Schizosaccharomyces pombe: one gene and its partners. Changing the gene in region 3 together with the main gene of any one other region gives a genetic interaction. Each region holds a gene or a part of one and is shown on either strand. Other genes may lie near its edges.

What was found. Genes that interact genetically often act in the same process or in processes that back each other up.
Region 1: of mst2 (region 3) and dcr1, changing one suppresses a phenotype caused by changing the other (phenotypic suppression), as found in Schizosaccharomyces pombe (5 studies listed by BioGRID, with this or other methods).
Region 2: of mst2 (region 3) and rdp1, a mutation in one rescues a mutant of the other (synthetic rescue), as found in Schizosaccharomyces pombe (2 studies listed by BioGRID, with this or other methods).

The regions. Positions count from the first base shown.
Region 1 is NC_003421.2:1,504,526-1,512,265, reverse strand, and holds dcr1 (dicer), read left to right. Parts: upstream 1-1,708; 5' UTR 1,709-1,975; coding exon 1,976-6,100; 3' UTR 6,101-6,120; coding exon of another isoform or gene 6,121-7,204; 3' UTR 7,205-7,266; downstream 7,267-7,740. Other genes in the region: ER to Golgi ceramide transport protein, lipocalin superfamily Svf1, read left to right, coding at 1-683; septin Spn6, read right to left, coding at 6,121-7,204, 7,267-7,325. UniProt on the Schizosaccharomyces pombe protein: Required for G1 arrest and mating in response to nitrogen starvation. Ago1 regulation of cytokinesis and cell cycle checkpoints occurs downstream of dcr1. Required, indirectly, for regulated hyperphosphorylation of cdc2.
Region 2 is NC_003424.3:1,323,170-1,329,593, reverse strand, and holds rdp1 (RNA-directed RNA polymerase (RDRC) Rdp1), read right to left. Parts: upstream 4,654-6,424; 5' UTR 4,589-4,653; exon of another isoform or gene 4,509-4,588; 5' UTR 4,342-4,508; coding exon 694-4,341; 3' UTR 533-693; downstream 1-532. Other genes in the region: phosphoribosylformylglycinamidine synthase Ade3, read left to right, coding at 1-332; exo8 (exocyst complex subunit Exo84), read left to right, coding at 5,258-5,295, 5,342-5,399, 5,454-5,595, 5,639-6,424.
Region 3 is NC_003424.3:2,362,964-2,368,801, reverse strand, and holds mst2 (histone acetyltransferase Mst2), read left to right. Parts: upstream 1-1,867; 5' UTR 1,868-1,968; coding exon 1,969-2,421; exon of another isoform or gene 2,422-2,537; coding exon 2,538-2,627; exon of another isoform or gene 2,628-2,674; coding exon 2,675-3,355; 3' UTR 3,356-3,407; coding exon of another isoform or gene 3,408-5,234; 3' UTR 5,235-5,303; downstream 5,304-5,838. Other genes in the region: protein kinase C (PKC)-like Pck1, read left to right, coding at 1-545, 601-802, 847-1,035, 1,077-1,260, 1,306-1,397; exocyst complex subunit Sec3, read right to left, coding at 3,408-5,234. UniProt on the Schizosaccharomyces pombe protein: Component of the mst2 complex which is a highly specific H3 lysine 14 (H3K14) acetyltransferase that functions together with gcn5 to regulate global levels of H3K14 acetylation (H3K14ac), critical for DNA damage checkpoint activation.

The sequences.
Region 1 (7,740 bases), on a different chromosome or scaffold from region 3:
ATCAAGACGCTCCTCCTTTTAAAATCGGTGAAGATGGAAATTCTACTTATGGAACAGATCCTAGTAAGCCCTGGGCTTCCATGAAGCATACCTTTTGGCCTCGCACTCGTGTTGAAGGTAGCATCGTTGCAAGGGGTAGAGTTGTGGATGTCACTGGTCCCGGCATGTTTGTTCATGCACTCCAAAATGGCAAACCCCACCATCTTGCTTCATCTTGGGAGTTTGCCCTCTTGCAGCATAAAAAGTTTACCGCCATCATGATGCAGTTCAAGACACCCCCTAGCTATGGTTCTACTATTGTCAATATTGGTGGTATCGCTATGAAAGACAAAATTATTAGTGCAACTGTCGATAATACTATTGAGCACGTTGAGACCACACTCGATCCCGATACGGAATGGCATGAACCCACTCGCATTTCCTACGAATGGGACGGAAAGGATGCTGAAACATACACCGAAGATATTCATCTTTCAGTCGATGCTCCTTTGGGAAGACGTCTTCAACGCATCGACGTTCTTGCCGAGATACCATCTTGGCTTAAGGGTTTCGTCCATGGAGTCTCTGGAACGAAACCTTTCATCTACCAATATTTCTCACCTGTCAAATTTACACTGAAGATGGGTGACGAGGTTATTGAAGATGAAGCCACGCTTTTTAATGAGACTACTTTTATTTCATAAGCATCTTTTAACAAAAATATTCAAGCATAAATAATTCGATGCATTTTGGGCTTAAACAAAGAGTGAACGTGCATCCATCTTTTTTTCAGAGCTTTTCTATATTAAACTCTCTGGTTTTGTATTCTTTTTTTCCTTTTTTTTGTCCTGTTGTTTTTAATTTCGTGTCTTCGAATTTTTTTTTCATACTATTTTTCGTTTTATTAAAATAACTTCATATAGACTTATCACTTATACTCTGAACTTGATAGTTGTGCTGCTCTCATATTGAATATGATTCTTGTTAATGGTCTTGTGCTACAAGCTCTGAAATTCATTCGTTCTCTTGTTTGTGTACTAAATCGATCTTGTCATCCTAATACCTATACTGATGGACATGGGCAAGGCATCTGGCAAAATTGTGCATTCGCTTATGTTTATTGAAAGACTGCAGTCTGTGTAAACGAGCGAGAATGTTTTAAAATTTTTTAAAAATTTGAATACTTTTCATTTTAGAGACTTCAAATAATATTGTTTTCATCATTAAGTGGATACTAATTAGCAACTTCTCAACTTCTATTTTATTTAAAAAACTAATTCATTGTAAATGTTGTATTGGTTTTCTACGAAAGCAGTTTTTCTATTATTGATAATTTCGCTTTTACCACTTTATAATAAAAAAGTATTGTATGTTTAATGTTTTCTAATATTTTTTTAATAAGTTTTCCTATGTTCCGATAAGAGCAGGCAGTGAACGCGTAAACAGATATATATGTATGTATTTATTATTAAAATATTATGTAAATAATTCTTAAAAAACCGAATCATTCTAGCATAAAGCATTGGAAACCAGTAATTCAACGTAACTGAATTTCACGGATTTACAAGCAAGTCGTACAGTCCTTTCTTCATTCAATAATATTGATTTAATAATAATATGTATATGCAATTTTCCTTTTTTTTTTTTTTTTTTTTTTAAACATTTTAAAATAAAGCATAGGCGTTTAATCATTTTTTATTAAAGTGCGTAACTTATGTTGTAAAAAACTACCACCTACTTTTCTCTTAAAACACCAGAATCTATAAGTGTAATGATTCCCCTTAACAACGAATTTAGAAGCTATCAATAGTATTGCGTCTGTTTTTATCAATCTCACAAACAATTATAGGAAGTATTCTGCTCGTGTGATTGTTCTTTTTCTTCTGGTAAAGATGAACATATGCATGTTTATTTGAATAGCTTAGGATTCATTATTTTTTAAGAGACAAATTTCTCGTCAATTGAATGAAACCTTCCGCCTTTATTTTCTTTTTGAATGGATATTTCAAGTTTTCTACTTCCTCAACTTTTACGTAAATATCAACAAGATGTGTATAATATCGCGAGCAAGCAAAATACTTTACTTGTTATGAGAACGGGCGCTGGTAAGACATTACTTGCTGTGAAGTTGATAAAACAAAAGCTCGAGGAGCAAATTTTAATCCAAGAATCAAATCTTGAACATAAAAAAATATCAGTTTTTCTCGTCAACAAAGTCCCTTTGGTATTTCAACAAGCGGAATACATTCGATCTCAACTACCGGCTAAGGTTGGCATGTTTTATGGCGAATTATCTATAGAAATGAGCGAGCAGTTGTTGACTAATATTATATTGAAGTATAATGTGATTGTTATTACTGCAGATTTGTTCTATTTGTTTCTTGCAAGAGGTTTTCTTTCAATAAATGATTTGAATTTAATTATATTCGACGAATGTCATCATGCAATTGGAAATGATGCGTATGCTCGCATCATGAATGATTTTTATCACAGAGCCAAAGCAGTATTGTCAAAAAAACATTTCACCCTACCAAGAATTTTTGGTATGACTGCTTCACCATTCACTGGAAAAAAAGGAAACTTATACCATCGACTGTATCAATGGGAGCAATTATTTGATTCTAAAGCACACGTGGTTTCGGAAAACGAGCTAGCCGATTACTTCTGTCTTCCCGAAGAAAGCTATGTAATGTATTCCAATAAGTTGGTTGTGCCACCCTCGGATTCTATTATCAAGAAATGCGAGGAAACTCTTCAAGGATGCAAGTTAATTTCTCGGGCTGTTAAGACTGCTTTAGCAGAAACCATAGATATGGGTCTTTGGTTTGGGGAGCAAGTTTGGTTATATTTGGTTGATTTTGTGGAAACGAAAAGATTAAAAAAAAAGGCTTTAGGGAAGCAGTTGTCAGATGACGAGGAACTGGCAATTGACCGGTTAAAAATATTTGTTGAAGATTGGAAAAATAACAAATATTCAGACAATGGCCCTAGAATCCCTGTTTTTGATTCCACTGATGTTACTGATAAAGTCTTTAAACTCTTAGAATTGTTAAAGGCTACTTACCGCAAAAGTGATAGCGTTCGTACGGTTATTTTCGTTGAAAGAAAAGCTACGGCGTTTACTTTAAGTTTGTTTATGAAAACTCTTAATCTGCCTAACATCCGCGCTCATTCTTTTATAGGACATGGACCGTCCGATCAGGGTGAATTTTCTATGACATTCAGGAGGCAAAAAGATACCCTTCATAAGTTTAAGACTGGAAAATATAATGTTTTAATTGCTACTGCAGTTGCAGAAGAAGGTATCGATGTACCATCATGTAACTTAGTTATACGCTTCAATATTTGTCGGACTGTCACCCAGTATGTCCAATCTCGAGGTAGAGCGAGAGCAATGGCTTCAAAGTTTCTAATTTTTTTAAACACAGAAGAGTTGTTAATTCATGAACGCATTCTACACGAAGAAAAAAATCTTAAATTTGCCCTTTCAGAGCTCAGCAATTCGAATATTTTTGATTCATTGGTATGTGAGGAAAGAGAACGTGTGACTGATGATATCGTCTATGAAGTTGGCGAGACTGGTGCTTTACTCACAGGGTTGTATGCAGTTAGTCTGCTTTATAACTTTTGTAACACACTTTCAAGAGACGTATACACAAGATATTATCCCACTTTTACAGCTCAACCCTGTCTTTCAGGTTGGTATTGTTTTGAGGTAGAATTGCCAAAAGCCTGCAAAGTTCCAGCGGCTCAAGGATCTCCCGCTAAATCAATTAGGAAAGCCAAACAGAATGCTGCGTTCATCATGTGTTTGGATCTGATTCGTATGGGTCTTATAGACAAACATTTAAAACCCCTAGATTTTAGAAGAAAAATTGCCGACCTTGAAACTCTTGAGGAAGACGAGCTAAAAGATGAAGGTTATATCGAGACATATGAGCGCTATGTACCAAAAAGTTGGATGAAAGTTCCTGAAGATATTACACGTTGCTTCGTCTCTTTACTTTATACTGATGCTAATGAAGGAGACAATCATATATTCCATCCCTTAGTGTTTGTACAAGCTCATTCATTCCCCAAAATTGATAGCTTTATTCTTAATTCGACTGTTGGCCCCCGAGTTAAAATTGTTTTAGAAACGATTGAGGATAGTTTTAAGATCGATTCTCATCTGCTTGAGTTGTTAAAAAAATCAACTCGTTATCTACTTCAATTCGGTTTATCTACTTCTCTTGAGCAACAAATACCTACTCCTTACTGGCTTGCGCCTTTAAATTTGTCATGCACGGATTACCGGTTCTTAGAAAATCTGATAGATGTTGACACTATCCAAAATTTTTTTAAATTACCGGAACCTGTTCAAAATGTTACTGATTTGCAATCCGATACTGTATTATTAGTAAATCCACAGTCAATATATGAACAGTATGCTTTTGAGGGATTTGTCAATTCTGAATTTATGATTCCTGCTAAAAAGAAAGATAAGGCCCCTTCTGCCTTATGTAAGAAACTTCCTTTACGATTAAATTATTCACTTTGGGGCAATAGAGCTAAATCCATTCCCAAATCACAGCAAGTGCGCAGTTTTTATATCAATGACCTCTATATTCTCCCAGTCTCTAGACATTTGAAAAACAGCGCCTTGCTAATACCCTCCATACTGTACCATATTGAAAACTTATTGGTCGCCTCTTCTTTTATCGAACACTTTCGACTTGATTGTAAAATTGACACTGCTTGTCAGGCTTTAACATCTGCGGAATCACAATTGAATTTTGATTACGATCGTCTAGAGTTTTACGGAGACTGCTTTCTAAAATTGGGTGCTTCTATTACAGTTTTTTTGAAATTTCCTGATACTCAAGAGTACCAACTGCATTTTAATCGAAAGAAAATTATTAGCAACTGTAATTTGTATAAAGTAGCAATAGATTGTGAGTTGCCGAAGTATGCTCTCTCGACTCCCTTGGAAATCCGTCATTGGTGTCCATATGGTTTTCAGAAAAGCACATCGGATAAGTGCCGCTACGCCGTTTTACAGAAATTATCGGTTAAGAGGATAGCAGATATGGTCGAAGCTAGTATCGGTGCATGTCTTTTAGACAGTGGACTTGACTCAGCACTCAAGATCTGTAAATCTTTAAGCGTTGGTCTGCTGGATATCAGCAATTGGGATGAGTGGAACAATTATTTTGATTTAAATACATATGCGGATTCACTGAGAAATGTTCAATTCCCTTACTCCTCGTATATAGAGGAAACTATTGGATATTCATTTAAAAACAAGAAACTACTCCATTTGGCATTTATTCATCCTTCCATGATGTCTCAGCAAGGTATTTACGAAAACTATCAACAGTTGGAGTTTTTGGGTGATGCTGTATTGGATTACATTATCGTACAATACCTTTATAAAAAGTATCCTAACGCAACTTCTGGCGAATTAACTGATTACAAATCTTTTTATGTGTGTAACAAGAGTCTATCATACATTGGCTTTGTTTTGAATTTGCACAAATATATCCAACATGAAAGCGCAGCAATGTGTGATGCAATATTTGAATATCAAGAATTAATTGAAGCGTTCAGGGAGACTGCTTCAGAGAATCCGTGGTTCTGGTTTGAAATTGATTCACCAAAGTTCATTTCAGATACTTTAGAAGCTATGATATGTGCCATTTTTTTGGATTCTGGGTTTAGTTTACAATCTCTACAATTCGTTTTACCTCTTTTTCTTAATTCGTTAGGGGATGCGACACATACTAAGGCTAAAGGAGATATTGAACACAAGGTATACCAATTACTGAAAGATCAGGGATGTGAAGACTTCGGAACAAAGTGTGTCATCGAGGAGGTGAAATCCAGTCACAAAACATTGTTAAATACTGAACTCCATTTAACAAAGTATTATGGGTTTTCATTCTTCCGCCACGGGAATATTGTTGCTTACGGCAAATCCCGTAAAGTTGCCAATGCAAAGTATATTATGAAACAAAGACTTCTCAAATTGTTAGAGGATAAGTCTAACTTACTTTTGTATTCTTGTAATTGCAAATTTAGTAAGAAAAAGCCATCAGATGAGCAAATAAAAGGAGATGGAAAAGTTAAAAGTTTGACTTGAGACTTGAAATATACAGTATTTCATTTTTTATGACCGCGGCCCTTGTAACTTTTCAAACTTTCAATTTGGGTCTCCAAAGCACGGATCCTTTCGTGATATTCAGAAAGTTCCGAATTCAAAGCATCTCGAGTTTCAATCATTTTCTCTTCTTTGGCCTGAAAGAAGCTTTCAGTTTCATTAGTCATTTGTGTTATCTTTTGTTGAATCGCACGTTTCTCATTGTTCAAGCGTTCGTAATGCTCTTTTTTCAGCTTAGGAATGCCACTCTTTCGATTCGTAAGCTGCTCTCTACGATATCGTTCATAGATGTTGGTTTCAGTTGTATTTATAAGCTCGAGCATATGCCTATTAATTAGCAATTTCTTCAATTTTAAAAAATCACAATGTGTTTCTTCATATATTTCAGAGGTTCCCCATGGGTAACGACGCCCTTGCGATTTTTCCCCATCGTCTTTGCAAACTTCATTTACACTGGAAATGATAGCGTAAGGTAAGGATGAATCTAGTAATTCGGCAGTTTCGTAATCAGAATACTCTGTTGATGGATGGAAAACGTCGATTGATTGAGCTTCCAGGATCCTTCTAATTTTTTGCTTTATTTGTGTTAATTCGGGAGTTGTAAATGTATCTGCCTTTGCTATTACTGGCACAAGGTTTACATGGGTCGATAGCTCCTTCATAGCTAACACATCTAAAGGAAGCATTCCAAACGAAACTGGCGTAATAAAGTAGAGACAAACGTGGACTCTAGTGTCTTTCCTTGGTACACGGAGAGAGTTTTGATCATGAATTAGATACCTTTCGTGTTGTTCGTCTAAATATTCTGCAACCGTATTCCAGCAACTGGTATTGTCAATGAAATCACCGAACCCTGGGGTGTCGAGCACCGTAAGATTGATATGAAAACCATCTTCTTCAATTACGGCCTTATTCTTTTTAACTTCTAAGGTCTTTTTGGCTATGGTCTCCTTAGCCGTTTCATATGATTTTTCTGGTTGCAAAGAAGTAGCAAAAAGAGTATTGAAGAACGTTGTTTTTCCAGTACCTGAGGCTCCGCAAAGCATGATTGTTAAACCACATTCTTTTCTTTTTATTAAATTTTCTCTGTGGTATATTTGTTAATGAATGATTTATGAATTTATGACTAGATTGTAACGATAACATACCTTTTGGATGGTAGACTATCCAAATTTAATAATAATTGAAGGTTTTCAGTCAAAGACATCGTAAAAATTTATTTCTCGAACTATCTGTATTTTGCTCTTTAGTAGGTTCAGGTTTGTTTCAAACAGCGTTTATCAGCGAAATATAAACAAACAACCGAATGTCCAGTGATAAAAAGCACAGATAAATAAATAAATATGCCTCATCAAAAATTTTTAAATATACAAATTAAATTATCTACATAGAAGACTTTTAATTCTTTTTCACATCTTGTACCAAAATACTTTCATAATCCTGGTTTACCAGAGTTGAAACAAGAATACAAATAAAAACGATGCTCAAATTTACTAGCTCTTTAATCATTAGAAGAATAAACATTAATTTTTAAGACTAAATATGAACTTCTGTTGAATTAACTGCCTTGATCCAAAAAAAACACAAAACGTAAATTGTACTTTTTTTTATTTTTAAGACAG
Region 2 (6,424 bases), 1.0 Mb from region 3:
TACCCGTGGTCGTTGCCCATGGAGAAGGTAGAGCTGTTTTCGATTCAGAGTCCGATTACGAACAATTTAAGAAGGAAGGTTTGGATTTGATATACTACGTTAACAACTACAACGAGCGTACTAGCCGTTATCCATTCAACCCTAATGGAAGCAGAGATGCTATAGCTGGTGTTCGCTCCCCTTGTGGTCGCTTTTTAGCTATGATGCCTCACCCTGAACGTGTAGTTTTGAAAGTTGCAAACAGTTATTACCCTCATTCGAAAGCTAGCGAGTGGGGCGTTCATGGTCCTTGGATCCGTCTTTTCCAATCTGCTAGAAAATGGGTTGGTTAAAGCATTTATCTTGCCCGGAGAAGCTGAATTGGAGTTCACATGCCGTAGTTTCTTTACAGTTTTGGTTTGTTTCGTGTTACAAAATTTTATAATTATTCTACTTAAATTAATGGTGAAAATTAGATTAAGCTTGGCAGATATAAAAATCGTTAATTATACATTATTACGATTAAATTGCTTTAACCATCGAGTATATGTGTAAAAATTATGACAACTCTTTTCCTTCAGCAGAAACATACAACAGTCTTGTTAAATGTTAACTCTAGCTACCTGTTTTGCTGTTCTATGTTCCATTGTCGATAATGAGTACAATTACTATTAGCCTTTTACGAGCAATTAAAGCTTCGAATGTATATTCGATTTAAAAATTATTAGCAGTAAGCATGGCTTTTCGTGAAAGCTGACAAAGACGACTAGAAAATAAATATGGAAATGAAATCAATACCTCAGTAGTGCCATTGCCAACAGATTTGACACGTTGATCGTATGTCACATCGTAAGTGGCAGCAACCGCACTGTTTATCCGTTCTTCATATTCCGAAGAATCAAATGCCGATTGATTTGATAAAGCGCATTTCTCTAAGTACTCTTGAGTGTATTTTTTCTTTAGAAGGTCGAACTGAAAGCTAACTTCCTCCCTAAGACCATATTCATTTACGGTTTTAGCTAAATCATCTTTAAAAAGGATAAAAGCTGTGTAAACTTCATATTCTGTGGAAATATCAAAACGAGCCATAATTGATCTCAGGTCATTATCATAGTGTTTCTTCACTTCTTCAGCTACATTCAGATATTCAGTTTTAAACCTTGGAAGTTTCATACAAGGATCATAAACAGTATTCATTATCGGATTATAAGTTGCAGGTCTGCCACTTTCTCTTTGGAATCGTGCAGCGTATCTGAAAATTTTGCCAACCGCGGTTTCGGAACGAAAAGAACGAGTTTTTGTTTTTTGCATGAAGTCAGGATATCGTTTGGGATGGTATTTGGCTTGCATTTTACAAGCTACTCCCGATTTAGCAAAATCTACAGCTTTTGAATGCATTTCTGCAAGTTCTAAACACACATTTCCAAATATCCCTTCCGGATTATTATCATGGTCATGGGCCCATGCCTTCCAAGCATTTGAAATTAGACCTAGCGAATCATATTTTATATAATTCACAAAAAATTCTTTTACCGAATCGATAAGTGGCTTTCCTTCCAAAAAATCTATAGACTTCTTGGGAGATGATTCAAGCAATGGGGGATAATTAACAATTTTAGGAAGAAGACGTTGATCCCATATAACTGTGTACTCATCCCCATCCAGATCACCACCAGAGCACATAGCAGGAATGCTTCGATCACCCGTTGTCGGAAACACTATCACATTTTTTAAATGCATAAGCTCATCGCATCTGACAGCTTTACAGACACGTACGTCACCTGGATGAAGCGAGGGATTCCTTGCAACAATACACAATCCAACTATAACCCTTGTTTTCAGCTTTCCAGTTGAATATGAACCAAAACTGGTAGAAGTGTCGGTAATTTGGATGAAAATTTCAGGTACTGACAAAACAGCATCATCATAATGACCCTTTAGTGTTCCAGTTTCATCAGCTACACCAAGTAAATAGGCACCCTTTGGAACACTAACTTTTTGTTTTTCCTTAATTAACCTAAGAACCCATTCATAATATAGATTTAATAAATTCTCGGTGAAAGCATCATCTCTTTCAAGGAAACCGGCCTGGATAAAATCAGCAATAATTAAAGTAGAGTGATATTCATCTACGTTGTCCCGTAACATTAAAATGGATTTTTGTTTGCTGTTTATCGATTCGTTCATTTTTGACAACTGACTTCTAGTCAATTCCAAAAATACGGTTTTTTCAACCCCGAGTCCTTCCAATAAGGTGATCAGTTGCATATTCAGATGGGCATTTGAAAATCGAGATATTTTAATAACTTCCAAGGTACTATGGAATGATTTAAATTTATCTTGACTACGGCGTGGAAACACAAGATTTCCTTGATGGTATTCAAGCTTAGTCGGAGGAGCTAAAGATAAAACGCCTTTATAACCACCCATACGAAATTGAAACGCAGAGGGAAACATATCATGATTTTTTACTTCCAAAGAAAGTCTTCGAATTACAGATAATGATGCCATTCCAACCCCATCAGTAAAGCAGTGGTTGTTACGAACAATATCATCCTGAAGGGATATGTCAACACAAAATCGATTAATTTCCTTTGTCGTTGAAAAGCATTGTCCCATCCTTGCTGCATACTTAGATACTGAATTGATTTCACTAAAGTCACCCATCCATTCCCTGATCTGTTTGGCATTTAGATCAGATCCCGAAGCAAAAAAGTAAGCACCATGCTCTCTTAATTGAGAATTTCCAAAAGCTAAAAATTCGTAAATTTGATTACCAACTTTAATTCCGTAGGTTAATAATTGTTGGATGCGAGAATACAATTTTTCATTTCTAAACCCATCAGAACCGCCTCGAATTTTTTGCTTATAGTATTCATCAGTTATTTGCACACGCATAAAACGGTTTGCAAAGTCCTTAAAATTTCTTATAACACGATTTCCTGCTTCTAATGAGTCTTCAACTATTCGAAGAGTAGTAGGTGTAACGTACAATTTTTTAATGTGAATAGAAGAAGCGGAAGATAAATCGTAAAAGACAAAAGACTTAGTAAAATCTAGCTCAGAAGGATTTATTAAAGCGGTTTTGGACGTTAGAATTAGTCTTAGGAATTTTTTTGCTCTCTCTTTCGATAATTTCTTTAAATTCGCCAATATAATGGGCAAATCAATTTCTGATAATAAGTTTTTAGAAAGGCAAGCCTGCAAAAGATAAGCAATCTCTTCCTCAATTTCTTTATCATTTATTAGACTACAGCGATGTTTGTAGTCTGGGACAAGATGGAAAACCACTTTATCAAGTTGACTTTTCAAATTGAATTTTTCCAAGTTGTGTAAAAGAAAGGCAATGTCATCTTTATCAGACTCATCCCTTATGGAAAAGCTAAGGACTAAAACATTGCAGCGTCCAATGGGGGCGTTATGGCAATTAAGTAGCTCTATAGGACTAGCAGTCGTTGGTGAAACATTGAAAGGTAGAATATCATAATGTCGTCTCCAAAGATGAGATGCAGTCCAGAAAGTTTGAACTCTGGATTCAGTTGCATTTTTAGATTTTCTGAAAATTAGTGGAGAAAATCTAAATCTAAATACGAGGGAAATATGATCATCGTAATAATCCGTCCCTACATCGCCTATTATGGAATGAAAATCGAAGTCCAGACGAAAGGTTTCGATCTGTTTGTCAAAAGAAGCATCAAAGAGAACACAGAGCTTTTTGAAATTAAAATATACAAGTAAGTTTGATTCAGTTACAGTTATTCCACAATCAACACCAAACAGTGGGACAATTCTTTCATCATAAACTTGCCCGAGCTTAAAGGAGGATAACGGGATTTTTACTAGCTGATCGCTTCTAAAACTATTCTTAGAGAAAACTTGTCGGCTGATGTGGGAACGATGTGCTGTTATGTCAATTTGAACAGCTAGATCAACACCTTTGACATTTATTTTCCCATTTGGTTCCCAGAATGGAACTTTGGGAGGAGGAGCAAATTGGACTATTGCAGTAGTACTTGTCTGTCCATTCAAAGGTTCATTAATCTTCATGAATTCTATTGTACCGTAATCATGAAGGGGTTCCCACAAGTTGTATAGTTTTCCTCCCTCATTTGAAAGCCAAGTAACTGGAATATCTTTTATGACAAGTGTAATCATATCCCCCAATCTCCAAGTACTACTTCTTTGGATTAGACAATTATCATTTCGTTTATTAGCCGAGTGCAACTGAGCTTCATTATTGTGAACGGAAGCCCATTTCTTTTGCTTTTTGTTTCTATATGGGACTCTAAGTCTTTCCCAGGGTGACTCACGAGAATAACGTTTTAATTTAACACTTATAAAGTCATTTAACGAAACTGCCATTGCTTTACATTGCCATACAAAATCTGGATTTAATTATAACCCTGACAACAAATCAATTTGGAACCTTTTGTAAAAATAAAACACTAAATCTCATAGCGCCTTTATGCAGTATCAGCAGCCTCGCTCTGCGAAGTGGTCTTTTATCATAGAAGATTCCTTTCAGCTGGCTATAAATTCGTTAGATACGAAAAACCTTCGATTTATATAAAAAAGATTATAATGTTCCTATTTATCCACTTATACATACATGTATATGTGTGCCTTTTTAATTTAATTGACCGTTATAGTATCAATATCTATGAATTGCTCTTGAAGGAAGTTTGTAGCACGGTGGAATAAAGTTAAGTGAAGGCTCCTTTACGTATAGGGAAGTAGAATCAAAATACTAAGAATACATATTCATCCTATATGAACCGGCAAGTTGAATTTCAGTTTTCAATCCAAAGCAGATATTGAGGTAGTTTTTTCACCAAGGAATAAAAAATTGTTAGGAAACTTCCATCAGTTAAACGACTGATATCATGCACCTTAATTCATGTTCAATATCGTGTTATAATATCTAGCTGATATTTACTATAAATTTATTTTTTAAGCATGGTATATAATTTGAGCTACGTAGCTTTACTCGTTTCAAAATTAAGTGCAGCCCTGATATTCCAAACCCCTCGTCAGCGCTTGATTTTACAAACACGTCCAACTACTTCGGCAAAGCAAACAACTTAATAGATTTTTAAAAATAGAGCAATTGCTCAAGGATAAATTAATTTATTATTCCTATTTGTAAATACCACAAATAGGTTCTTCATTCCCTTATTTTAATTGGTAAATTGTTAAACTTATTTCAAATGTGAAGCATTCAATTTAACATCCTTTAGATACATAATATTTATTCTTCTATCAGAAACTTGAAAAAAAAATGCCTGACAATCCATCTTCTTTTGAAGATGAATTCATGTACGCAGCTAGAGAATATCGGGTGTTTGAGCTAATTTTTTGTTAGGAAATCTAATCATTTAAGTGTTGCTTCGGAGTCCATACCAAATGAAAGCCAAAGACAGGTATGTACTGAAGTTAAATAAAAACAACCTATTACTAAAACTGCTTTTTAAAAGTCACCGACGCGATTACGAGTCGGTACCTCTAAAACAGATGATATTTATCGACAAAAACGGCAAACAAAACATATCATTTCACAAAATGAAGTTTTTTTACAGCCTAAATTTTTCGATAATCAAAATTTTGATGCTCAAAGCTGTATGTGTAATTATGTCTATTGGAAACTAATTTTGCAAAAAAGATTTAAACGATGTTTTACAGGACCTTAGTGAAGATGAATTTGTGTCTTTATACAATAAGCTTCTACGCATTCACATGGGCGTCCGTAAAAATTTGGAAAAGAATTTTTACAAAAATTTGAATGAATATGTATTTATATCAGGGGAGGTTGAGAGCATGACTTCAGATTTTAAAAAGTTTCAGTCTCTGTTGAAAACCCTGGAGACTGACATTGAAGGATTAAACTTGGTCGACCATACGCATGACCCTTCCGACGAATCAATAAAACAAACGGTACAGAGACTACGATCATCCATTGAAGGGCTAGATGAAGCATTCTGGGAAGCGCCTCAAAGACAGCTTATATGTGAGCAATACAATTGGATGTTAATCAATATTGACAATCAGAGACCTAAGCTTCTTGTCAATATGCTTCTGTTTAATGATAGACTGTTGGTTACTACTTCTCACATGAAAGAAGTTGATTTCCCTGCTAAGCAGCAGGTTTTGTATAATTGGAATTTAACCGAAATTTCTATTTCTTCAATTGAAACTTATGGACCAGCAGGTGCTGAAATGCTGCAGAAGGAGAAAGAGGTCTCTCTATACAAACTGTCAATTAACCATAACAATAAGACCACATTGTTGGCAGTACACAATAGTGAAGAAAGGGATTATATGGTTCGTCAGGCTCGCCATCACCAGCTTCAAGAACTAGAAAATTGGTCTAGAAAGCATGATGAAGATCTCGAATTTAGTCGTGAACTAGAATATCATACTAAATCGGAACAAGCCGATATGTGTTCGT
Region 3 (5,838 bases):
CAGGGCTTACTTGCTGCTACTCAGCCAGTTACAAGTGTACTTAATACGTCTCCACTTCCAAAAACCCCTGAGAAAGATCGATCTTTAAATGTTACTCCTTCCTCTTCTACTCCTACTCCAGCTTCTGTTCTTGCTCCACCTTCCAGTGCTAGCTTATCGTCTTCCAAGGATGCTAATAGAAGTGTTCCAGAAAGTCCACGCAGAGAGAAAAAGAATCGTGTTACGCTTGACGACTTCACATTTTTGGCTGTATTAGGGAAAGGCAATTTTGGCAAGGTTATGTTGGCTGAATATAAAGTGAATAAAAAGTTTTATGCCATCAAAGTTCTGAAAAAAGAAGCCATTTTAAAGAATGAGGAACTAGAGAGTTTAAAAACTGAAAAGCATGTTTTCGAAGTCGCGAATAAAGAAAAACATCCGTTCTTGCTGAATCTTTTTGCAAGCTTTCAAACTAGTACCAGGGTTTACTTCGTTATGGAATATATTCTTGGTGGTGACCTTATGGTTCATATTCAACGTCAACAGTTTAGCGTGAAACGTGCAAGGTAGTACTTCAATCTTTATTTTTATTTTTATTTTTATTTTTTATTAACCCCATAGATTTTATGGTGCTGAGGTTTGTTTAGCATTGAAGTATTTTCATGAGAATGGAATTGCTTACCGTGATTTGAAATTGGATAATATTCTACTTTGTCCTGATGGTCATATACGAATTGCTGATTATGGACTCTGCAAAGAAAATATGTTGCTTGGCAATACAACTTCCACCTTTTGTGGTACCCCCGAATTCATGGCTCCAGAAGTAAGGCGGAACTTGTTTTGGTTTATTTTATCTAACGAAAATAGATTTTATTAGAACAGCAATATTCCAAGGATGTTGATTGGTGGGCTTTTGGCGTTTTGATGTATCAAATGTTACTGGGTCAATCCCCTTTCAAAGGTGAAGATGAAGAGGAAATATTCGATGCGATTTTAAGCGATGAACCGTTGTTTCCGATTAATATGCCAGCGGATGCGGTTTCGTTATTGAGAGGGGTATGCAAATTTCTAAATATGTTAACTAATTCAAAAAATAGCTTTTAACAAGAGATCCAAATCAACGACTTGGTAGTGGACCAAAAGACGCAAACGAGGTTATGGCTCATCCTTTCTTTGCTAGTATTGTCTGGGATGACTTGTATAACAAACTTTATGAACCATCATATAAACCGCTTATCAACGATCCCCGAGACCTCAATAATTTTGATGAAGAATTTACAAGTATGACAATTGTTAAAATATGGTTAATTACTAACGATCGATTAGGTGCATGTCCAACTTTGACACCTGTCAATACTGTTCTCACACGACAACAACAAGAGTGTTTCAGAGGATTTTCCAGTTTTGCTACTGAATAGAATTAGCTTGTCCTTTGCTTCTGCTTTTTTAAAATTAGAAAATTATGGTAACAATTTCATATAGTTCTGATGCTGCTTCCTTTGCATTCTTACACTTAATTTAGTGTACTCACCCTTTACATGATATTTTTTTTACTTTTCTACGTGTTCATATTTAAAAAATTTCTGCATTTATCATCATTACATTACTTGAAAATAAAGTCGAAATTAGAGAATAATTAAAGTGGCATTAAAACTACTAATGTAAAACTTATCGTTGAATCACCCAAGGTGACTTTGTAGTATTTATACGCAACGTTTGTAATGGCATTCAATCAAAAAGCTAACAGTGAAGTTATGAATGGTTACTGTTTCAGAATACAAAAGTAAAAAATATGAGTAGTTTTTTATTTAACAAGAGTGAAAGGGTTATCTTTGCAGAGATCGGATGGAGGTGGAAGTAAAGCAAGAACTAAGAAGAGAATGAGGGCACTACCACCAACTCAATTATATTGACCAAAGGATTAAATGGGGCCATTAGGAAAACTATGAACGATCTGTAAATATAAACAATCTTTTTTTTTTATGTATAATGCCGGCGACTATTTTGAAATCCACAGCCAGTTCAAAGACTTTGTTAATAATAAAGTTTGATACAAACTCCTCCAGATATCCATTTTATAAGAAACATTTATTAGAGTTAAATTCGGAAAGTACTTTTTTGGGTCTATTAACTAAAGGGCAAGCTGACACATCGATTACGAGACTCAACCAAGACGATGTGAGGCTGTTTGAAAAAGCAAAGACAGTAGCAGATAGGACAAAGGATGTGGCTTATTCATTTTCCGATCCTATTTTATCTACACAGTTGCGAACGCCTCCACCACAACCAACCTCCATTCGATACCTCTATTTTGGTACTTACCGGATAAAACCATGGTATACATCACCGTATCCAGAGGAGTATAGCTGTGCAAAAAATTTATATATATGCGAATCTTGTTTAAAGTATATGAACAGTGATCATGTACTACAAAGGCACAAGGTAAACAACTTTTCAAGTAAGATCATAATGTTATTCGCTATTGCTTGAGTTTAAACGAGGTGTACATTAAAAGATCATAATCTATCCAAATTGAATTTACGGACTAACATAATCAGATGAAATGCTCATGGAGTTATCCACCAGGAGATGAAATATATCGGGATAAGAATATATCAATTTTTGAAGTTGATGGTCAACGGCAACCGGTAAGTAATTTTTTATGCATTTTATACTTATTGATGTTTTTCCTTAGATATATTGTCAAAATTTATGTCTTCTAGCAAAGATGTTTCTTCATTCAAAAATGCTGTACTATGACGTTGAACCGTTTCTTTTCTATGTATTGACTGAATTTGATGGCCAAGAATGCAAAGTTATTGGATATTTCAGTAAAGAGAAACGCTCGGCTTCTGATTATAACGTTTCCTGTATATTAACATTACCCATTTACCAACGCCGAGGATATGGTGTCTTTTTGATTGATTTTAGTTATTTACTTACACAGGTAGAAGGTAAGCTTGGATCACCTGAAAAGCCACTTTCAGATTTAGGCCTCGTTACGTACCGAAGCTATTGGAAAATGAGAGTAGCCAAAGCTCTATTGGAAATCACAACACCGATTAGCATAAATGCTATCGCCAAATCAACATCTATGGTATGCGACGATGTTATATCCACATTGGAATCGTTATCTGTATTTAAGTATGATCCGCTCAAAAAGAAATATGTATTACAACTGAAACGGGATGAACTTGAGAATGTTTATAAAGCTTGGAATATCAAACACCCTCAAAGAGTAAATCCAAAACTTCTAAGATGGACGCCATATCTCGGAGAAGAGCAGATATCTAACCTTTTACTTAAAGAAAATATACTTATTCCTCTACCTCAAAAGCGTCTATTAGATAACTCTCATCATCTGGATTCCGTTTAGTTCAAATAAATAAGTATTTTAATCTTTCGATATTTGTCGTGAAGCATTTGTATCATCTACGGCTTGGTTGTTGCTCTATATTAATGACGCCATTTAATGCAGTAGACAACTCTAGGGAAAATAAGTTGATGGTTGAATTGATAGACTCACAACCTAAAGCACAATCTTGAAGTTGGCTCTTAATGTTTTGCAATTCGATTTCTTCTTCAGCAAGGTTTTCCACACTGCTTATGATAGCTCCATCAAACGAAAATTCTGTTTGTTTCAATACATCTTTTATAGTTGTACCTTCATTCCACTTCAAAGTGGAAAGACGAGAAATGCTTTGCTCCGGAATGTTTTTGAGGTTGATTTTTGAGTTAAGATCGTAAACTTTTTCAACAGAAGCTTGGTGCGGTTTAGTCGGAATGGAAGTAACAAGAGTTTTCTTGGCTTTTGGCTTGGAAGTGGTTTTTCTATTTTCAAAGCGCAAACTTTCAAAAAGGGGAAGAAGTTCATTTCCTATAGAAGGCTCGTCGTTTGGTGGTTCGATTTGTTTACCAGTCGAAGGAGTTGCCCGAACAGTTGGCTGACGGGACGGGTGCTTTGGAGGTAATTTAGGAATAGCCGGTGCTCCTGTTGGTTTTCGAGAAACAGACTTTGCTGATACTTTAGACGAACTGGAAGGCTTGTAAGATGACGTTAATACTGAAGGAGTTTCTAAGCTAGAAGATAAAGCTGCCTGGGTAGCATCACGATCCACTTTACTAAAATCGCTAGCAAATGTGTTTGACTCCAAAGAAGAGCTTAGTTTCACGTCTTTTTGAGACATATTATACTTACCAGCTTCTAGTGCCAAAGCTGTATTTTTCTCGTAAGAACCACTGATGCTATTCTTACCCCTTTCCGAAGAACTCGTTCCACTGTTAAATGAGGGTGCTTGTTCACGACGAGTAGTTTTACGTAAAGAAGGTTTAGATGGAAACAATTGAGCTTGTTCTTGAATAAACATTTCCCGTGTTTGATTATCTCGTCTTTGAGTTGAAGTATCGAATAAGACATCATCTTTTCGGTCTCCTGAAGTCCTTGCAATGGCAGAAGAACTTGAAATTTCTATAACATCACTATGGGCAGATGATGGGGTCCCCCGGGAAACGTTGGAAGAAGGCTTATTGTCAGAAAACCGTCTTTCTTTTTCAACACTCAACTTCTTTTTGGCTGATCGAGAAGAATCAATAGTGAGCTTCTTCTCGATGCGAGGCTGATCCGTTTCTAAATTGGTAACAATTGGGCCGTCCGAAAAATTACGGTTATGTGCGACTCGAGAGTTAAAAGATGAGGAAACTTGTTCTGAAGAATTTTCAGGTAATGATGACCTTGCTTTAGGAATAGCTAGGCTCTTTGCAGGATAGAGATTAGGTTTGTTATCAGCAAAGGAATTACGATAGGCCCAGTCCACTTTGCGGCCATCAGTCGTAGTCACTGAAAGCGGCCTGCCCATATAGTACATATAATTTTTAGCAACAGAAAAAACAAATCGATCGCGAGCAGAAGTGTCCTGAGTTCGCAACAAATGTGGCTTGTTTATTGTCATAGTAACATCATGATCATTAATTACAGTAATATTCTGCAACTCAAATAAAGGCCAGGATTTCACGACTGTCATTCCGCCTTTATCATTTACTTTCAATCTGTGTATATAAAAAATACGAGTCACATCATCACAAGTCAAAGCAATGTAGCGGGGTTTCATCTTTGAGCCAACAACATTAACTCCTCTTTCTTCCTCCACCGGAAGATATGCTAATGATTGCTCATGAGCTTTCCGTTTATCGGTAGTTTGAGCCGAATTGACAGCTTGTAGAATTTCTTGTTCAACGGCATTAGGGTTAGAAGCCATTCGTCTGAAGTGGTGTATTAAATGAAAAAAATTGGGTTAAATAGATAAATATTAACAAAAAAAAAACCATTAATTAAACATTCTACCACTTTCCAATGGCAAGTAATACTGAAAGCGCCTTATTCAACGGAAAAACAAATTTTCTAAGGAAACGAGACTTTTTTTTAATTCACAGAGTCTTTATAAGCAAGGGATAAAATTTTCTTGTAAAATTGAATTCTAGCGGTAAAGAAATATATAAATTTGATAATAATTTTTACAATTGTGGTGGAATGGTGGGTTAATAAGGAGAAATGTCAAAACGTAAACAAGTGACATATGTAGGCAAATGCTATAGAAGTCGATTTTTTAAAGTTTATTTAAACTTGCAAGCATTGTCTACGTTCATAATATTTATATATATTTAAACATCTTTAAATATTTTTGCTGTGCATGAAAAGTACAATAATCCATAACTTTTTTGTTGATGACTTCGCTGTACTTTATGGCAGCTTTGTTTATTCGACGAGCTTAAAAAATCCAAATTATTGAAACAGGAAACACATTGATAGCCATAGTGTAATTCTAATTGCATAACCAGCAACGTTTAAAATGGTTAGCTATA